Caenorhabditis elegans: one gene and its partner. The protein of the gene in region 1 purifies or fractionates together with the protein of each later gene. This does not show direct contact. Each region holds a gene or a part of one and is shown in the gene's direction. Other genes may lie near its edges. The genes, in order: ymel-1 and yop-1.

Evidence for each region.
Region 2: the proteins of ymel-1 (region 1) and yop-1 fractionate together in Caenorhabditis elegans (co-fractionation; one large-scale study listed by BioGRID). This does not show direct contact.

Annotation. Positions count from the first base shown.
Region 1 is NC_003281.10:10,413,560-10,424,485, forward strand, and holds ymel-1 (ATP-dependent zinc metalloprotease YME1 homolog), read left to right. Parts: upstream 1-2,579; 5' UTR 2,580-2,591; coding exon 2,592-2,664; intron 2,665-3,526; coding exon 3,527-3,757; intron 3,758-4,403; coding exon 4,404-4,748; intron 4,749-5,241; coding exon 5,242-5,348; intron 5,349-5,627; coding exon 5,628-5,887; intron 5,888-6,110; coding exon 6,111-6,215; intron 6,216-6,268; coding exon 6,269-6,968; intron 6,969-7,292; coding exon 7,293-7,448; intron 7,449-7,603; coding exon 7,604-7,798; 3' UTR 7,799-8,200; downstream 8,201-10,926. Other genes in the region: M03C11.3 (PH domain-containing protein), read left to right, coding at 1-163, 862-1,143; M03C11.6 (BBS2_C domain-containing protein), read right to left, coding at 8,235-8,503, 8,676-8,818, 9,182-9,292, 9,590-9,682, 9,728-9,861, 10,280-10,432; prp-3 (U4/U6 small nuclear ribonucleoprotein Prp3), read right to left, coding at 10,662-10,835. UniProt on the Caenorhabditis elegans protein: ATP-dependent metalloprotease that catalyzes the degradation of folded and unfolded proteins with a suitable degron sequence in the mitochondrial intermembrane region. Plays an important role in regulating mitochondrial morphology and function.
Region 2 is NC_003279.8:2,727,300-2,734,233, forward strand, and holds yop-1 (Receptor expression-enhancing protein), read left to right. Parts: upstream 1-2,704; 5' UTR 2,705-2,710; coding exon 2,711-2,937; intron 2,938-3,621; coding exon 3,622-3,946; 3' UTR 3,947-4,154; downstream 4,155-6,934. Other genes in the region: snr-7 (putative small nuclear ribonucleoprotein G), read left to right, coding at 1-5; Y71F9B.2 (Phosphatidate cytidylyltransferase, mitochondrial), read left to right, coding at 4,265-4,337, 5,419-6,134.

The DNA of each region.
Region 1 (10,926 bases):
CTACCGTACCATTCCCGACGACTATTGGCAAGATAAAGAACCAACGGACGGAATTGTTAAGCAGGAAGAAGCTGAAGAGAAAGAAAAATCATCAGATGATCTTCTGATTACTGTAGCCAAGAAACATCATAAGCTGATGCATGCCGAACGGGAAAGGATTAAGGTTCGGAGAGTTTTTTGGATTGAAATTTCTATTCAAAAATTGAATTTTTAGACAAAAATATGTGAACGTTTTTGAAAAATATTGAAAAAAAAATTTAGTGAGGATCCTGAAGTTTTAAATACATTTTTTACCTATCTCCAGTTTTAAAATCATGGAAAAATGGTTCAAAACTGAAAAAAAGTGATTTTTTACAAGAATTAACCCAAAATCTACAATTTTTCAGATCTAAAACCGAATAAAAAGCATAGTTTAGCACATTTTTCAGCACTAAATTTTATTCAAAAAGTTTTAATATTTTTCTAAAAAGGCTCTAAATATACCCAGTAAAACTGTAAAAAATTTAGTTTTTTAAAAAATTTTGCACAAAAGCTAGAAATCATGAATTCCCACGCAAATTAATGGCCTGGCTTCGATTTTTTCGCGATTTCTAACTACTTTTTTCAAATTTCAGGAAAAAAAATTGGTAACCTACATGAAATTTGGTAAAACTCTAAAAAAAATCGCCAAAAATTTTGCGGAATGTCTGAAAATCGATAATTAGAAAAAAATGAAGAAAAACTGATCAATTTTTATATTTTAGGACATCTTTATTGTGTAGTTTCGTGGGTTTTCTCAAAAAAGATTTTTAAACTTCTGAGATTATGGGAAATTTTGATGTTTTAAAGTTAAAAAATCACAAATAAATTCACATTTTTCAGAGAGAAACGGACAAACGAATAAGAAATCGTCAACCAGCTCAAAAATCGGCGGCCGCCACACCAGCACACAGCTCATCATTCGCAGTACCAAATGCCGGAGAAGTTGAAGACGACGAAGACGGCAATCAATATCCACCATTTGATATGAATCAATTTGAATTGGATGCTGCAGTTGTGTCAAGGCGTCGTTTTGCTTCTGTCGAGAAACCATTTGAGCAACGCGATTTTCTCAATAATCATCGAAAGAAATCCACCATCAATACCGAGTTAACCAGCAAATAGTGTCATTTTTCCCCATTTTTTCTTTTTTTTTTCTGAAGCAGCTTTTGAATTTGGAAATTTTGAAATTGAAAATTGTGAAATATTCCTAAAATTGCAAATTTTTCGACGAAAAAATATCAAGATTTTAGCATTTAATTTACAGTTTTTAAAGGGAAAACACGCCAAAAAAGTTCTCAAAAAATCTTGAATAATGCGCATTTTTTCCTCTAAAAATATACAAAATTCTGGATAAAATTACTGAAATCTCCATTTTTGACGTAAATTGAGATTTAATTTGGTAATTTCCAGTGTTTTTTAACGCCAAAAAATTCAGATTTCCTATGAAAAATCTAGAAACTTGTACATTTTTAGCAGGTTTTTCCCCCTGAAAAAAAATTTTTTTAATTCAAAAATTCTTGAAATGCCGAATTTTGATTTTTCTCGCGTTTTCCATGTCAAAATTCAAATTTATTTCTCATTTCGAAAGCTTCTTCATCTTCATTTTCTCCAGAATCCCATCCCATCCTAAACATGAATCTCTGTCACATCTCATTTCGCACTTTTTCGTTTTTTCCCCATTTTTTCCATTACGACGATCTCTCGTTTTTTAAAATTAATTTTTGTTTTTTTTTTGAGTGTAGCACTTTGCCTACATTACTGTAAAATTAGAAAATTTCATAGTTTTTTGCAGATTTTTTTTGGAAGAAAACTGGCAGTTTTTGGGAGAATTTTTGGATTTTTTCCAACCCAAAAATGTCTGAAATTTGGAACAAAAATTGAGAAAAAAAAACCTTTTTTTCTTAATTTTTCTCACTTTTTTGAGTCTCAAAATTAAGAAAAATTCAAATTCCCAACCCGAAAAATTGCACATTTTCCCCAAAATTCTTCTGCCACGTCACAAATATCATCACCCGGTCCCCGTAATTTCCCATAAAACAAGCCTCTAATTCATTTTCCCACCCAATTATCCGCTGTTGATTTGTTGTTCAATGTTTTTTTTTCGGTACCTCACTTATTTTATATATATATATTTAAATATTATCACAACTAGAACCTTTTCCTTCTCCTCTTCCTGCTGAGCCATCTCATTCTCAATTTGTAACGACTAAAAATTCCCAAATTTTTGTGCGCATTTTTTTTCATTATTATTATTATTACTACCATATTATTTCTCATCATTTGAAAGAAAAATGCCGGTTTTATTTAGCCAACAAAAATTGCATACAAACGAAGAAAAAAGGTCACCTGAAACCGAAATATTTTTGCCTGACACGAGGCGGCGGCGTCGCGGTTTGCATCATGGAAATTGCAAACGCGCTCCACTGGACTCTCGCTCCTGGCTAACTGAAGTTAGTCACTGCGCCTATCAGTAGTAACTATTTTTCTCTGAAATCTCGGAAAATCTTTTTCTATAGATATATAGAAATATAAATTTTTGTATTCTCTGAAAATTCCAGAAGAAAAAGCTTATGCAGTCGGCGATCAATTTGAACATTGGCGGTTTGCTCCAGAATACGGGACTGCTCAGAAATAGTCGAAATGGTTTGTTTTTAAAGTTTTTAAAAATAGAGGAGAAGATCGATTTTTAGGTGATCTGGAATTCTTTTTAATCCGGCTGAAAATATTTCATTTTTTGAAATTTATGATTTTCAAAATTTGGTAAAAAATTAGGCAAAAATGTAGTTTAAATTTAAAAAAATTGTTAACAATTCTGTTTCAATAATTATGTCGTACTTATTTTATTTTAAGAAAAATGTCGATTTTTACATGACATTGTACTTTTTGAAAAAAAAATTTCAACGGGATTTTGAGCTAAAAATGAAAAAAAAAACTATTTCTTGGTCTGAAAATGCTTAGATTTTGATGTTTTAGCTGGCAACATTTAGGTATTCAGTTTTCAACAATTTGTTTGAATCAGAAATTATTATTTAGCCGGGCGAAAAACAATCAATTTAAAATGAAATTAAAATTGTTCTTTATAAATTAAAAAGCTTGCAGAAAGCAATATACGCTTTTTTTTAATATTAAGACATTTAGTATGGTAATTAGAAAATAAAGTTTAAAAAATTAGCACAATATATTCAAAAACTACATATTACGGGAGCACAATATTCTGAGAATGCGTATCACACAACATATTCGACGCGCAAATAATATCGTGCGAAAACTACAGTAATTCTTTAAATGACTACTGTAGCGTTTGTGTCGATTTACGGGCTCGATTCTTAAAATCATTTTTTTTATCGATAGAATATTAAAATTAAGCAAAAAAATCGACACAAGCACTACAGTTTTCACTTGAAGAATTACTGTAGTTTTCGCTTCGAGATTTTTTACGTTGCCCAATACTCATTCTCAGAATTTTGTGTTCCTGTAATAATTTTCAAAAAATCCAAATTTCCAGGAATCAATAGGAAACCGTTGGATATTGAAGCAACAGCAGCATCACTTTCAAGAGTATATCATCAAGTTTGGAGACAATTCAGTTCTGATACTTCTTCACCTGTTACAATCAATCAAATGAATAATATTCTCAGAGATAGTACGCTTTCAAGGCGGATCGCTAGAAAATCTGAAATTTCGCTGAATTATGATGATGCTGTCGTTCGGATAATTCCGGCGAGCTCTTCGTTTTGTAAGTTTAAGCTGCGTGGAAATTTTGCTCCTTTTTGTAAAATAAGAAAAAATTCAGAAAAAAGTTTGAAACTTTAAAAAAATTGCAAAAAAACTTATTTTTTGATCTAAAATAGGTTTTTTTTAAAATTTTCACAATTTTTACAAAAAAGGAAAATTTTATCGAAAACTTGAATATTTTAAAACAATTTTTTATTAGTTAGATTTTTCATTATTTTAGGAAATTTTCATAGAATAATATAAAAATAATTGAAAAACAAAACAAAAATTTTCATTTTAAAAAACCAACTTCAAATCAATATTTATGTTAATTTTTTTGAAATAAAATTTTTTATTTATTTTAATTTCAAAAATATATAAAATATTGTTTGGAAGTAGGTTTTTTTCCAATTTTTTTTTATTTTATGAAAATTTATTACAAGCATTTTCTAAATATTTCCTAAAATTATTTTTAAAAAATCTACTTTTTTTCGTTAAAAATTGTTTTTAAAAATTTCCTTTTTCTGAATTTTTTCCACTAATTTTAATTAAAATTTATAGGAAATTTTACAAAAAAAACCTCTAGATACTGGTATTTTATTGGTATTTTTAAAATAAAAAATACGATAATTTTTTTTACATTTTTCAAAAAATTCCAATTGTCTCAGATATCCAACGCCGCGGATTTCGTACTCGAAAACAGACATTCGGAGTCGGAAATGCCGGAAAACCGACACAAGATGAAGTGAAATCTCCGTTAACCTATTTCTCAGAGCTTCTCGCTGGAAAAAAGCAAAAAACGTCAGAAGGAGGAGTTGAAAAATGGAATCAATATGAGTCGGATCTCAAGAAATTACCAGAAAATCAACAGAGAACATATACTGATGGATTTGTTAAGGGATTATTGTCAAATGGTGTTTCGGGAGCTGGAAAAGATGGGAAAAAATCGAATACGCTCACGCGGTTCTACATTTTTCTTGTTTTTTGCATCTTTTTCGGATATTTGACTGGAAGTGCGTTTTATTTCGAGAATTTATAGTGAAAAATTGAAAAAAAAATTTTTTTTTCCTTGAAACATTAAATTTTTAGACATTTTTTCTCCTGAATTTTAAAAATTTAAAATTAAAAAAAAAACACATTTCGCTTCAAAATTGTTGAATTTTGTTTAGAATTTCGAAAAAATTGCTGAAAACGTCCGAAATTTTTCAAAACTGCATATTTGAAAAGTTTTGGAAAAAAGTTTTTTTTTTAAATTTAGGAATTAAAAATTAAAAATACAATTTCCAGGTTTTGAAAATTCGTATTTATTTCTAAAATTAACTAAATATTCTATAATATTTAATTTTTAAAAATGTTTTATTTCAAGTCTAAAAATCGGTTTTTAAAAATTGTTTTGGAAATTTTGTAAAACTTTTCAAAAACTGCATATCTTGAACATTTTAGAAGAAAATTTTTTTTTTTTCAAAAAAAAATTAAAAAGTTTATGAATTGATCTCCTAAATAAAGGAATTCGTGTGCGTGTAGGCGATCGACAAATTGGTTCATTGTTCTTCTCGAATCCACAAGAAGTCAATCCAGAGGATGTTCAAGTTACTTTCGATGATGTTAGAGGAGTGAGTTTTTTGGAAAAATTTACCGAAATTTGCGATTTGTTTCATTTAAAAAACGACACGAAATCATTGAAAAAACCCTTAAATTTTTTTCTGAAATTCGAAAAATTGCAAAAATGTTTATTTTGCCGAATTTTTTGGAAAAAAAACCTTTAAAATTAAAAAAAAAATTTAAACTTTTTTTTTTTTGATTTTTTGACTTTTGAAAAAAAAAACTTTAAGATAATTGTATCAAACTTAAAGTGTTCTAAGAATTTTTTTCAATATTTTTTCAATTTCCAGATGGACGAAGCGAAATTGGAAGTGGAGGAGATCGTGGATTACCTGAAAGATCCAGAAAAATACTCAAGACTTGGTGGTCGATTACCGAAAGGTGTCCTACTCGTCGGACCCCCCGGAACCGGAAAAACGTTGCTCGCGAGAGCAATAGCCGGTGAAGCACAGGTTCCATTCTTCCATACTGCTGGATCAGAATTTGATGAAGTACTTGTTGGACAGGGAGCCCGTCGTGTTAGGGATCTTTTCGATAAGGCTAAGGCTCGGTGAGCAGGCTATTTTGGAGACATTTTACAAAATTTTTGTTTTTTTTAACCATTAGTTTTCTTAAATTGGCCAAAATTTAATGTTTATTTTAAAATTAAAATTCAATTTTGTTGCCCTCTCGGAATTATCGATTTGTATGATATTCGCTAAAACTTTGACAAAAAAAAATTTCGTAAAATTAAGTAAAAGCCCCGAAAAAAATCCAAGATTTATATTTTTCAGTGCTCCATGCATCATTTTCATCGACGAAATCGATTCAGTTGGCTCAAAACGTGTTTCGAATTCCATCCATCCATATGCAAATCAAACGATTAATCAACTTCTCAGGTAACAATTTGCTCAATTTTGTGCATTAAAAACTCATCTCCTGATGTTTTCAGTGAAATGGATGGCTTCACCCGTAACGAGGGAATCATTGTAATTGCCGCAACAAATCGTGTCGACGACCTCGACAAGGCCCTTCTCCGACCCGGACGCTTCGATGTTCGTGTCACAGTTCCAAAACCTGATCTCGCTGGGCGTGTGGACATTTTCAACTTTTATCTCTCAAAAATCGTGCATTCCGGTGGAATTGATCCTAAAGTTCTGGCGAAGGGATCGACAGGATTCACTGGAGCCGACATTGAGAATATGGTGAATCAGGCGGCATTGAAAGCGGCGACTGATAATGCTGTGGAGGTTACGATGGCCTATTTAGATGAAGCAAGGGATCGAGTACTGATGGGACCGGCACGTACTGGAGGAAGGATTCCTGATGAAGAAGCAAATAGAAATACAGCTTATCATGAAGCAGGTCATACTCTGGTGTCTTTGTACACAAAAGATGCTACACCTCTGCATAAAGTAACTATTATTCCACGTGGACAATCTCTCGGACACACTGCAATGCTTCCTGAAAAGGATAGTTATCAGTTGACTAAAGCACAAATGCTTGCTACGTTGGATGTGATGATGGGCGGTCGGGTGGCTGAAGAGCTCATCTTTGGAGATGATAAGGTCACCACTGGTGCTGCGGATGATTTGAGTAAGGCCACTCAGTTGGCGGTGCAGATGGTTAAGGTTTTTGGAATGAGTGATAAGGTGAGAAGGGGGCTTGGGAATACTTTTTTCTTAGGAAATATGAGCTTGGCGCAAAATTTTTTTTCGGAAAATTTGAATTTCCTGCCATAATTTTTTCAAAATATTCAAATTTCTCGCAATTTTTTTTCGCTAAAAATTGTTTCAGTGAATTTGAATATCTCTCCGAAAAAAAAAACAATTAAAATTTCCCGCAATTTTTTTTTTATTTTTGAAGCTGTCGCCAACAATTTTCTTTAAAAATTTGAATATCCCACCAGAAGTTTTTAAAAACTAAATTCTAATTTCCCGCTAAAAATTTTCTATATTTTAAATTTAAAATTCCAGGTCGGACTCCGTGATTTCACTGCCCAAGACAATGAAAGTGCACTGGTAAAAGTGTCGGATTTGGCACCACAAACAGCCGAACTAATTGATGCAGAGATTAATCGTGTACTACAGGAGAGCTATAAAAGGGCTAAAGTCATTTTGGAAACCAAGAAGGTTTTTTTTTTGGAATTTTCTAATTTTCCAGATTTTTTAAAACTAAAACAAAAATGTTGCTAAAAACTTGAAAAATACGACGTCAGCTTTTTTTGTTAAAAAATTAATTTAAAAAGATTCCTTCAAAAATTCTCAAAATTTCCGATTTTTTGCAGAAAGAGCATCAACTGCTCGCGGAAGCTCTTCTCGAATACGAAACTCTCTCAGCTGACGAGGTGAAACGTGTTATCAGTGGACAGAAAATCAAGCGACCAACACCGGCGGCAGTGAAGAAAAGTAATGAAACAAAACGAAATCAACCGTCGCTTGTTCTTCATTTATTCGAGGAAGAAGGCCGTGGAAAGCAATAATTTCTTCTTTTTTTTTCTTTAAATATTCTAAGTTCTGTACTTTTTCCTCCTTTTTCTGATTTTATTTCAGTTTAAGTTCGCTCGAAAATCTTAGAAAATCGAAGTTTTCGTGTAAATTGAGTGATTTTTTTCCTATTTTTCTTCCATCTTCTCGTCTACAGGTATTCATTCACCTATTTAGCATTCTTCTCTTTCCCCAATTTTTTCCCGTTTTTTCTCCGGTTTTCTCGATTTTGTACCAATTTTCCTTGTAGGTTCTCAACTCTCTTCTCATAGTCCCCTGAGAATTTTGTGTCTCGATCGCTGTGAGACCACAAAATTTCCGGTTTCATCCTCTCTTTCTCCTCTGTGGTTGTAGCTTTCTAGATGTACGGATCTGTTGAATATAAATGTGTTTTTGGATTCTAGAAAACAATTTGAAAAAAAGAAAATTAATTTATTGGCACTTCTCATTCAGAAGTCTCAAAAACATTTCACAAATTGAGCTGTTCTCCGAGATGACGTGGCACCGAGTGACGTCATCACTGCTCTCCGTGAACAAAAAGAGCCCATCAAAATTGTCGGCGCCGACAAAAAGACGCCACGTGTCGAAATCGTTAGCCGAAAAATGAGGGAATTCTCGGCGAAATGTGGCAAAATCCGGAACAATTGGCACAGGAAAACGGTGGAGCACAGTGAGCAGTGATTGGATAATTCGAGTGGATTCTGGAATAGAGAAAATGTGGGTTAGAAGGGGGCGAAGTCGACGACCACTTTCTGGGCGGAACCTAAAGCTAATATTTCTACAATTAAAAATTGTTTTTAAATGTCAAAGGAATTTCAATAGTCTGAATTCGAGCATTTCTTTGAAGCCATTAATAGGCGGAGCTTAACATACTCGACTCATCAACGAATTCGATTGATTTCACGTCCAATTCTTCGATCGCTTCGGAAAAATCGATTCTCACAGAAAAATCGGCTTCTGGGTATGGTTCAACACGTAAATTGGCGCCAATTACTGGATACGCGGTCGGATGAAGTCTGTAAGGAAATGGAATGTTTATGGTTACAGTAATCTTTGGAAAGTCTACAGTAACCCTACAGTATCCTCCTATAGTGCAGCCAATTAAATGAGCTACCATAGTCTTACAGTGACCGCCGTTAGTACCACTACAGTAACCTTCAGGAAATCTTAATCCTACAGTATCCTACAGTACCCCTGCCCAGGATGTCGTCGAAAAACAATCAATTTTCGGTTTTTTCAGAGTAAATTGAAAAATGAGAACAACTTAAAAAAAATTTCCAATTTCTTTTGAAAATTCTTGTTTCCTCTAAAACAAATTGAAAATCGAATTTTGTATTTATTTTCCCGTTTTTTTTTTTCAAAAATATTTCAAAACTTACAGTAGCCTTTTGCTTGGAACGAGGTTTCCTGTGAAAATGAGATTTACGGTGTCACTGGCCAAAAACGCCGAAAATGGAATTGCCAAGCACACAACTACTGTCGAATTCGGTCTGAAAATATGAGGAATTAAACTGATTTGAATGCGCAAACATTGGGTCATTGGGTCCCGCCACGATCCACGTGTGTTTTGGGAACCGTGGCGCTACAACAAATCGTGGTGGGACCCCCCAAACTGGGAAAAGCGTGTGCGCCTTTAAAGTAGGTCAGATTTTTAAGGAATGTATAATTTTTTTTTTTTTTCGTTTTTTCTGAAAATTTTAGAAAATTTTTCGGGAATCTTCCCAGTATTTTTACAACTTTTAAAATAAATTTTCGAATTTTATTGTTCCCAAAAATTCCCCAATTACCTGATACTTTGCAGGATATTTGGAGAATGTGAATTTTCAAACAAAGTCCATCGAATCAATGTATTCGGAATGCCAATTGACGCCTGGATTGATCTGAAAATATCAATTTTTTAAATAGAAAATTAATTAATTAATTACAAAATATCAGTTTCCAATCGATTTTTGACTTCGAATCTGGTGATTACGTGGCGTTCGAAACGGGAAGAATCGATAAAATCAATGGAAAAAATCTGATTTTCAGTGATTGGAATCGATAATTCACAGTTAAGAGTCTGAAAGTTGAAAAAAATTAAAAAATGTTTTTTTTAATTGAATAAATATTACAAAGTCGTGAAAACCGACCACGTCCATTTTAAAGGCGCAGGCCATTTCTTCTGCTATATTGGGTCTCGCCACGATCTACACCAATTTATATTTACCACACGTGCCGAGACCCAGCTTTGGCGAAAAAAAATTAGTTGGTGTTTTCTTCCGGACGTGTAATAATAACCTTTTTTCGTAGAAAATTCTCAACAACTAGATTTTTTGGATATGTTTTTTTAAAATTTTAACCAATAAAGGGCATGGCTTCAGGCTAATTTTTGGCGGGGAATTTAAATTTCTCAGAAAACATTTTGGCGGGAATTTATCAATTTTTGAATCTTTTTGAATCTCCGTTAATTTTCAAATAAAAATCCTCATGTTCCGTACTTCTTTGATATATTGCCGTCGTTTTCTGCAATTTTCCATCTGCTTGGGATCTGTGACCACCCGTAGTGACTCCTCTAAAATCGCCCGTTTTGCCTTGATTTGCGCCTCCATCACTCGAATCGCCTCCTCAATTTTCTCGTCGACTTCTTCCATATTTTGCGGGGGTTTCTAAACAGAGAAATCTGTGGGAAATAAATATAAAAATTACGGGAAAATATGCAAAATGGGTCTAAATTACAACAAAAAGTGTTAAAATTCTAAAAAAATCTTTTTAAAATAAAATAATGTTCATTTACAGTCCCTTGGCTCAGGGCTCTCCGGGCTCCAATAACAAAAAAAAAATATTTAGAAAAACGAATTAAAATTTTCCAGAGATGTGTATTTAAGCAGTCGGTAGAATGTCTTGTCCCTCCAAAAGAACGGTGGTACTGTAACAGAGATCCCAGTATTGTGCAACTCCGTGCTTTTCGAAAAACTCGCGAGCCTGCTTCTCAAGTGTAGCCGTGTGAACGGTGAAATCACGGAAATTTCGACGCTTCACTTGTCCTTCCCAGATCTGGAAAATTTTTAATTTTTTTAACTTTCAAAATATTTTTGAAAAAAGATTTTCAGCTAAAATCTACTTTAAAAAATTGTTTTCGAAATTT
Region 2 (6,934 bases), on another chromosome or scaffold:
CCTAGATTTTTCGATCTCCACAATTTCCTGTCACTTTCTCAATGTTTTCATTTTCAAATTTTGATATTAAATTTTTGAACCTTTTTTTTGATAATTTTTGATAACTACGTGGTCAAAACCCACTTCTCATCTCTGATTCACGTGAATTTCGTATAGATAAGAACTTCGCAAATAGAATCAATTCACAAACAAATGTACCAAAAGTTATGTTTTATTATTGCAGGCATAAAAAAAATCAATCGTAAAGCTTTTTTTCAGCATTTTGTTTTTCCACGGCTCAAATTGAACGAAATAGTGTTCATTTTGAAGAGAGGCACGAAACAGAGTAACAAAAACACGGAGAGACTTGTGTATCCCTCTTCTCTTTCCACTATGTGCGGTCGACGACGCTCTCCACATTTTTCTCTCTTTATTCTTCTCGTTACTCTTACTCGGCACAACAGCAGCAAAAAAGAATACTCTTTCCCCACTTCTTATCTCTTTTTCTGCCGACCTATTTTCTTCTTTCAAAACAGAAAAATGTTCCACACACACGCCTATCATCATCCGAAAGCTGTACGAGATGTGCTTTCTCATCTTTCCGTACTCTTGTGGCTGCAGCCGTCGAAGAGTTGAAATATCAATTTTCAAAACGCGGCAGATTCTCAGCCGGAATTCAGTGAATTCGCTTGATTTCTCGCCAAAATATAGAAATCAGACGATTTATCTGAAAATAACACCCATTTCAGTTGAAACATGCGAGAAAATGCTGAAAAATAGCCTGAATTTGCTAATTTCAGGCCATTTTTGAGCTCTTCCTCAAGTGTTTCGACTGAAATAAATGTTTGTTTTAGATAAATCAAGTGATTTTCTATAATTTCACATCAATTTTAAATGAATCAACATGTCACAATAGGTCATTTTGAAAAATTGGCGCCAATCCCCAAACCTGATCTGGATTTGAACAAGAGTTTTCTACTTCGATTTCACATTTTGCTGAGAAAAACCGAAAATTATCGATGTTCTCTTTTGAAAATTGAACGCTTTTCAGTGATAATTAGGAAAAATCACCTTTTTTCAAGTCGAATAATTTCAAAAGCTTCAGAAAATCCAATGTTTTGACTCGAATTCAGGAAAAACCGGAAGAAAATCGCGAAATAATATAAAATCCGAATAAAAAAAACGCGATTTTTTTCAATTTTGGCTGAATTCTCCACACTCCAACTGATTGATCGTTCATTTTTTAAAGGAATTTAGCCAAAATTGCAAAATCCCGATTTTAAAAATAAAAAATTAATTCTGTTATGATTCCGCGTTTTTTATTTTGTAATAATTCCCATTTACGCCGTCTTTTAAAAATGCAGACCCACAATTTTTCTGGTGAACATTTCAAATCAATTCAAATTATTTTGATCTGATCTCCGGCGCGAATCACTTGTACTTTGTTCTCTCTCCTCCCGTCTCCTCCGTGGCACTATGTCATTCTGAAGTTGTTTCAATGACAAATCACTCACGCACACACACACACACAATGGATTGTGCCCTTTGTGTTGCCGTTTGACTATCATCGATTGATTCCATTCCCGTTCCGTTTTCGCCGTGCTCTCTCTCTCTGGGTTTTTCGTCTTCTCCCGGGAACACTTGGCCAGTTATCACTCGCTCTTTCTGTCCTCCTCTCAACAGCTATTGGCTACTACTACTACTGCTGCTGCTGCTGATCCGGCTCCGGTTGGCTATAGGCACATTTTGATGCGATTTGTGTGTGTGTGTTCTTTGGAGATTCAATTTGAAGAACTCTTCGCCTTTTTTGTATAAGTTTTCTTTTCGGGGGTGAAAAAATTCGCATCTTTATTCTCTTTAAGGTGGTGTAGTCTAATTTTTTTAAAAATAGCTTTATTAGACTCAAAATTGTCTGAAAACACCGAATTTCATAGTGTAACTTCTCAAAAAAAGTTTATGACGGCTCCAAAATGGCCTAAAATTAGTTAAAATTTGAAATTCGACCAACTTGTCAAGCGGCTGGAAACAAAATCACCGTCAAATTTTGAGTATACAATGTAATTATCTTGCGTTTTTAACTTCATTTAGGTATTTTAAAGTCCATGGACGGCGAGATTTCACAATTTTTTTAACCAAATCTCGCCGTCCATCGACTTTAAAGTACCTAAATCGAGTTGAAAACGCAAGATAATTGGATTGTATACTCAAAATTTTACGGTAATTTCAAAAAAAAGTTTCCAGCCGCTTGACAAGTCGGCCAAATTTAAAATTTTAACAAATTTTTAGACCATTTTTTCAGCCGTCAAAACTTTTTTTTTGAGAAGTTTTCAAGAAGTTTCATTATGAAATTCGGTGTTTTCAGACAATTTTGAGTCTAATAAAGCAATTAAAAAATTCGACTACACCACCACCTCAAAAATTTATAAATTAAATATATTGAGAATATTTTACCTGGGGTTTGGTCCCTAAGCTAGGCTTCTGAGCAAGATAAAAATTGAAAAAGGTGATAAATTCATCACTTTTTTCTCAATTTTTTGGCTCAGAGGACTAGCTTGGGGCCCAAACTGTTCACTTTCTCTCAGAATTCCGAATTTTTGACCCCGGAAACAGAATAAAAATGCACAGCCCTGACTGGTTCACATCATAACTCTTTTTATTTTATCGCTTTTTTGTCTCTTCTTCTTCTCCGCCGCCAAGTCATTCCTCTCAACATCCAATTTTCCAGCGCCCAATGCCTGTCCCACCACAAGTGCAAAAGGTCTTGGACGATGTCGACAAGCAGCTCCACGAGCCGAGCACCGTCACCAACGTGCTGGCGACCGTTGAGCAGAAGACCGGAGTCAAGCGGCTTCATTTGGTGCTCGGCGTCGTCGGTCTTCAGGCTCTCTACCTCATTTTCGGACATTCCGCCCAGCTTGTGTGCAACTTTATGGGATTCGTCTACCCGGCTTACATGAGGTTCGCGAATTTTGCAACAAAGAAAACTGCCGCACAGAAAAAGAGGCGGGGCGTAATTTTGCAACCCTGCGGCACGGATTTTCGCTCTTTTTTGTTGATTTTTTTAAATTCTCATAAGATTGTGAGGACGCTATCAAAATTTATTTATCGATCCTTGCATTTTGCAAAAAGTTTTGTCGCACAGAAAGTGGGGCGGAGCGTGCTTTCGCAACACCGCCGCACGGGGTTTGTCTCCGCCCATTTTCCACAGCTTTTCTTGTTGATTTTCTCAAAAAAGTTTTGATTTTACTTGTCTTTTTCTTTTCTTTTTCGAATTGGATCACATTTTCATTCGAAAAAAAGGGGCAAAAACAAGAAAAATCGAAACTTTTATTGAAAAAAAATATACAAGAAGAGCAGTGGAAACATGGCGGAGACAAACCCCGTGCGGCAATGTTGCGGAAGCTCGCTCCGCCCCAATTTCTGTGCGACAAAAATTTTTGCAAAATGCAAGGATCGATAAATAAATTTTGATAGTATCCTCACAATCTTATGGGAATCAAAAAAAATAACAAAACAAAAGGAGCGAAAAACCGTGCCGCAGTGTTGCAAAATTACGCCCCGCCTCTCTTTCTGTGCGACTTTAATCAAAATTTATCGTTTAAAAAAATTTGAAACCCATTTTTTAAATGATTTTTTTTTCAGTATCAAGGCCATCGAATCAAGCAACAAGGAAGACGACACTCAATGGTTGACCTACTGGGTCATATTCGCCATACTCTCAGTCGTCGAGTTCTTCTCCGTTCAAATCGTCGCCGTTTTCCCAGTCTATTGGCTCTTCAAGTCGATCTTCCTGCTCTACCTCTACCTTCCAAGCTTCCTCGGAGCCGCCAAGCTCTACCATAGATTTGTGAAGCCAGTCGCCGCCAGACACTCGGGATCCATTGACGCCAAGATTGGAAATTTCGCCGATAGAGTGAACAGTGCCGCCGGAAAGCTCGCCAACGAAGTCCGAGATCACATGGAATGATTTCTTCTTGAGCTAAATTTTATTATTACTACCACCAATACTATCAACTTCCCCCAGATTGCCCACCAAAATTCCCTTTTTTGCCTTTTTTTTTATTTCTTTGTTCGGTTAGGCTTCTCCCCCCTCCCCTCCTTACTCCGATCTTTGTTCGTTCTCATTTTGTCCAACGATCCATTCTTTTTAGACATAATGAATACTCCACAATGGTAAATTTATTCTCTTTTTTGTGTGTGTTCGTAGAAGAGAAATCGATTTGCCACGCAATACTTGATAATGATATGTATACGGTGGGAAAATTATGTAGAAAAATCTACAGAAATGGACGAATATCGAGAGCTGATTAGTGTGCTTCCACTGGAAACTGTAGAATATGCATTTGCATATGGATCAGGTTGGTTTTTAAAGGTGCACACTGAAAATTTGGAGGGTCCCGGCGCGATCCACGAGTTTTTTCAGACACAGCTTAAAAAATCCTGAAAAAAACGGTGTTTTTATTGTAAAATTCAAGTTTTTCATTTGAAAAACAAAAATTTGACTATTATATAAAAACAGAAAAAAAAATCAAAGTGCAAGCGCGCTCCACGGACAAAAAATGCTCCGCCCCGAAATGTTGGGTCTCGTTAGGTATTTTGAAAAATTAAATGAATTTCAACAAATTTCGCCATAAAAATCGACAAAACAACGAAAAAATGACAAAAAATGTTTAAAAATTGAAGATTTTCCCGCCAATACCTAACGAGACCCAACGATTTGGGGCGGAGCGCTTTAATTTTGCCGAGGAGCGCGTTTGCACATATTATTATTATTTTTCCGCGTAATAACGATATTTTTTAGGTTTTAAAAAAAGGAAAATGTTTAGAATTGTAAAAAAATCAATAATTTTTAGATTTTCCGTTAGAAAATTTTTTTTTTCACATTTTCGAAAAAATGTCAACAATTTTTCGATTTTCCGAACAGTTTCAAATTTTTTTTCATAATTAAAAAACGAACATTTTGCTATTATATAGACGCAGAAAAATGATCGAGGTGCAAGCGCGCTCCACGGACAAGAAAAACGCTCCGCCCCGAAATATTGGGTCTCGTTAGGTATTTTGGCAATTTAAATGCATTTCAACAAATTTCGGCATAAAAATCATTAAAACAACGGAAAAATGACAGAAATGTTTGAAAATTGAAGATTTTCCCGTCAATTCCTAACGAGATCCAACGTTTTGGGGCGGAGCGTTCGCATGTCGCAGTGGAGCGCGTTTTCACATAGATTTCAAAAGGGGAATTTCCCCCATAATAACGACTTTTTTTTAAAATATAATTTTTTAAGTAAAAAAACCAAAAATTTTTAAATTTCCCGGAAAAAATCGATATTTTTTCACATTTTCGAAACAAAATTCAACCACTTTTCGATTTTTTCGGGAAAATTCCCAAAAAAACAATTTTTTTCCTAAAAAATTAACTCTAAAAATTTACTTTTCCAGGTGCAATCCAGCAACAAAATGAGGATAAATCGGAAAAAATGGTGGATTTTGTGATTGTCACTAAAAATGCTCAAGAATTCCACCGCGACAACATTCTCAAAAATCCCCAACACTACAGCCTACTCCGGCTTATGGGCCCGAAAATGATCGAGAAAATTCAGTGTAATTTTGCGGCTCGTGTCTATTACAATACTCATGTAAAAGTCGGGAAGCGGAAGATCAAGTACGGAGTGATTTCGTACGAGAATGTGAAGCAGGATCTTCTGGATTGGAGGTGGATTTATATTTCTGGGCGGCTACACAAGCCGGTACTGGAGGTGATCAAGCCGCGGCAGGATATGTGTGATCTGGTGACTGAGAATCGTAGATCAGCGCTTCATTCATCGCTTCTTCTACTTCCAGAATCTTTTACACTTAAGCAATTATTTCATAAAATCGTCGGGCTCTCTTATACTGGAGATTTTCGAATGGTCGTTGGAGAGGATAAGAATAAAATCAATAAAATCGTCGAGGGAAATTACGAGGAGCTTCTCAGAGTCTACGAGCCACTTATGAACGATGATGCTCGACTGTCGGTGATGTCGCCGGCGAAACTGATTCAGGATGGATCGACGACGGCGATCTATCATCGATTGAATCTTTTGCCATCGGAAGTGTTGAATCGGATTCAGAAGAATATGAATAGAGTGCAGAAAAGGCAGCGGGATGCTGAAGAGGTCTAGAAAATTATAATTGGCGCGCAAAATAGGGTCTCGTAGCGAAAACTACAGTATACAATCAATATTAACGAAAATCACTGAAAAATCCGCAAAAACTGGAAATTACAGTACTCTTTAAAGGCACACTCCTTTTCGCATCTAACAAAAAACATGTCGTGTCGAGACCGGGCACCGTATTTTTGAAGCAAATCCGATTTTTAAGAAACTTTAAAATTACGATATTTAGATTGTGGAAAAATTTTTACCCAGATGCGAAATTTGGCGATTTTTGGACAAAAATACGGTAACTGGTCTCGACACGACAATTTTCTAGCAAATGAAAAATAATAGCGTGCGCCTTTAAAAGGGTACTGTAATTTTGGAATTTTTGCGGAATTTTCAGTTTTTTACTAGTGTTTCAATATTATTGAACATCAAAGAAAAATCAATGAAAATTCGCAAAAATTGGAAATTACAGTACCCTTTAAAGGCGCACACCCGTTTGCATTAAGCGACAAATGTGTCGTGTCGAGACCGGGTATAATACTTTTGAGGTAAAAATCACAAAATTTTCGCAACTAGGTGATATACTTTTCTCCAAAAAACTACATATTTGACGCGCAAAATATCTCGTAGCGAAGACTACAGTAATCTTTTAAATGACTACTGTAGCGCTTGTGTCGATTTACGGGCTAGACTTACGGGAACGAATTTATTTTCGAATTGTGAGAGTGATATTCCATTCCAAATTTTTCGTATTATTTTCTCTTTTTTTTTTTGCTTTTTTATTTTATTTTGTCGATAAATAGATGATTTTA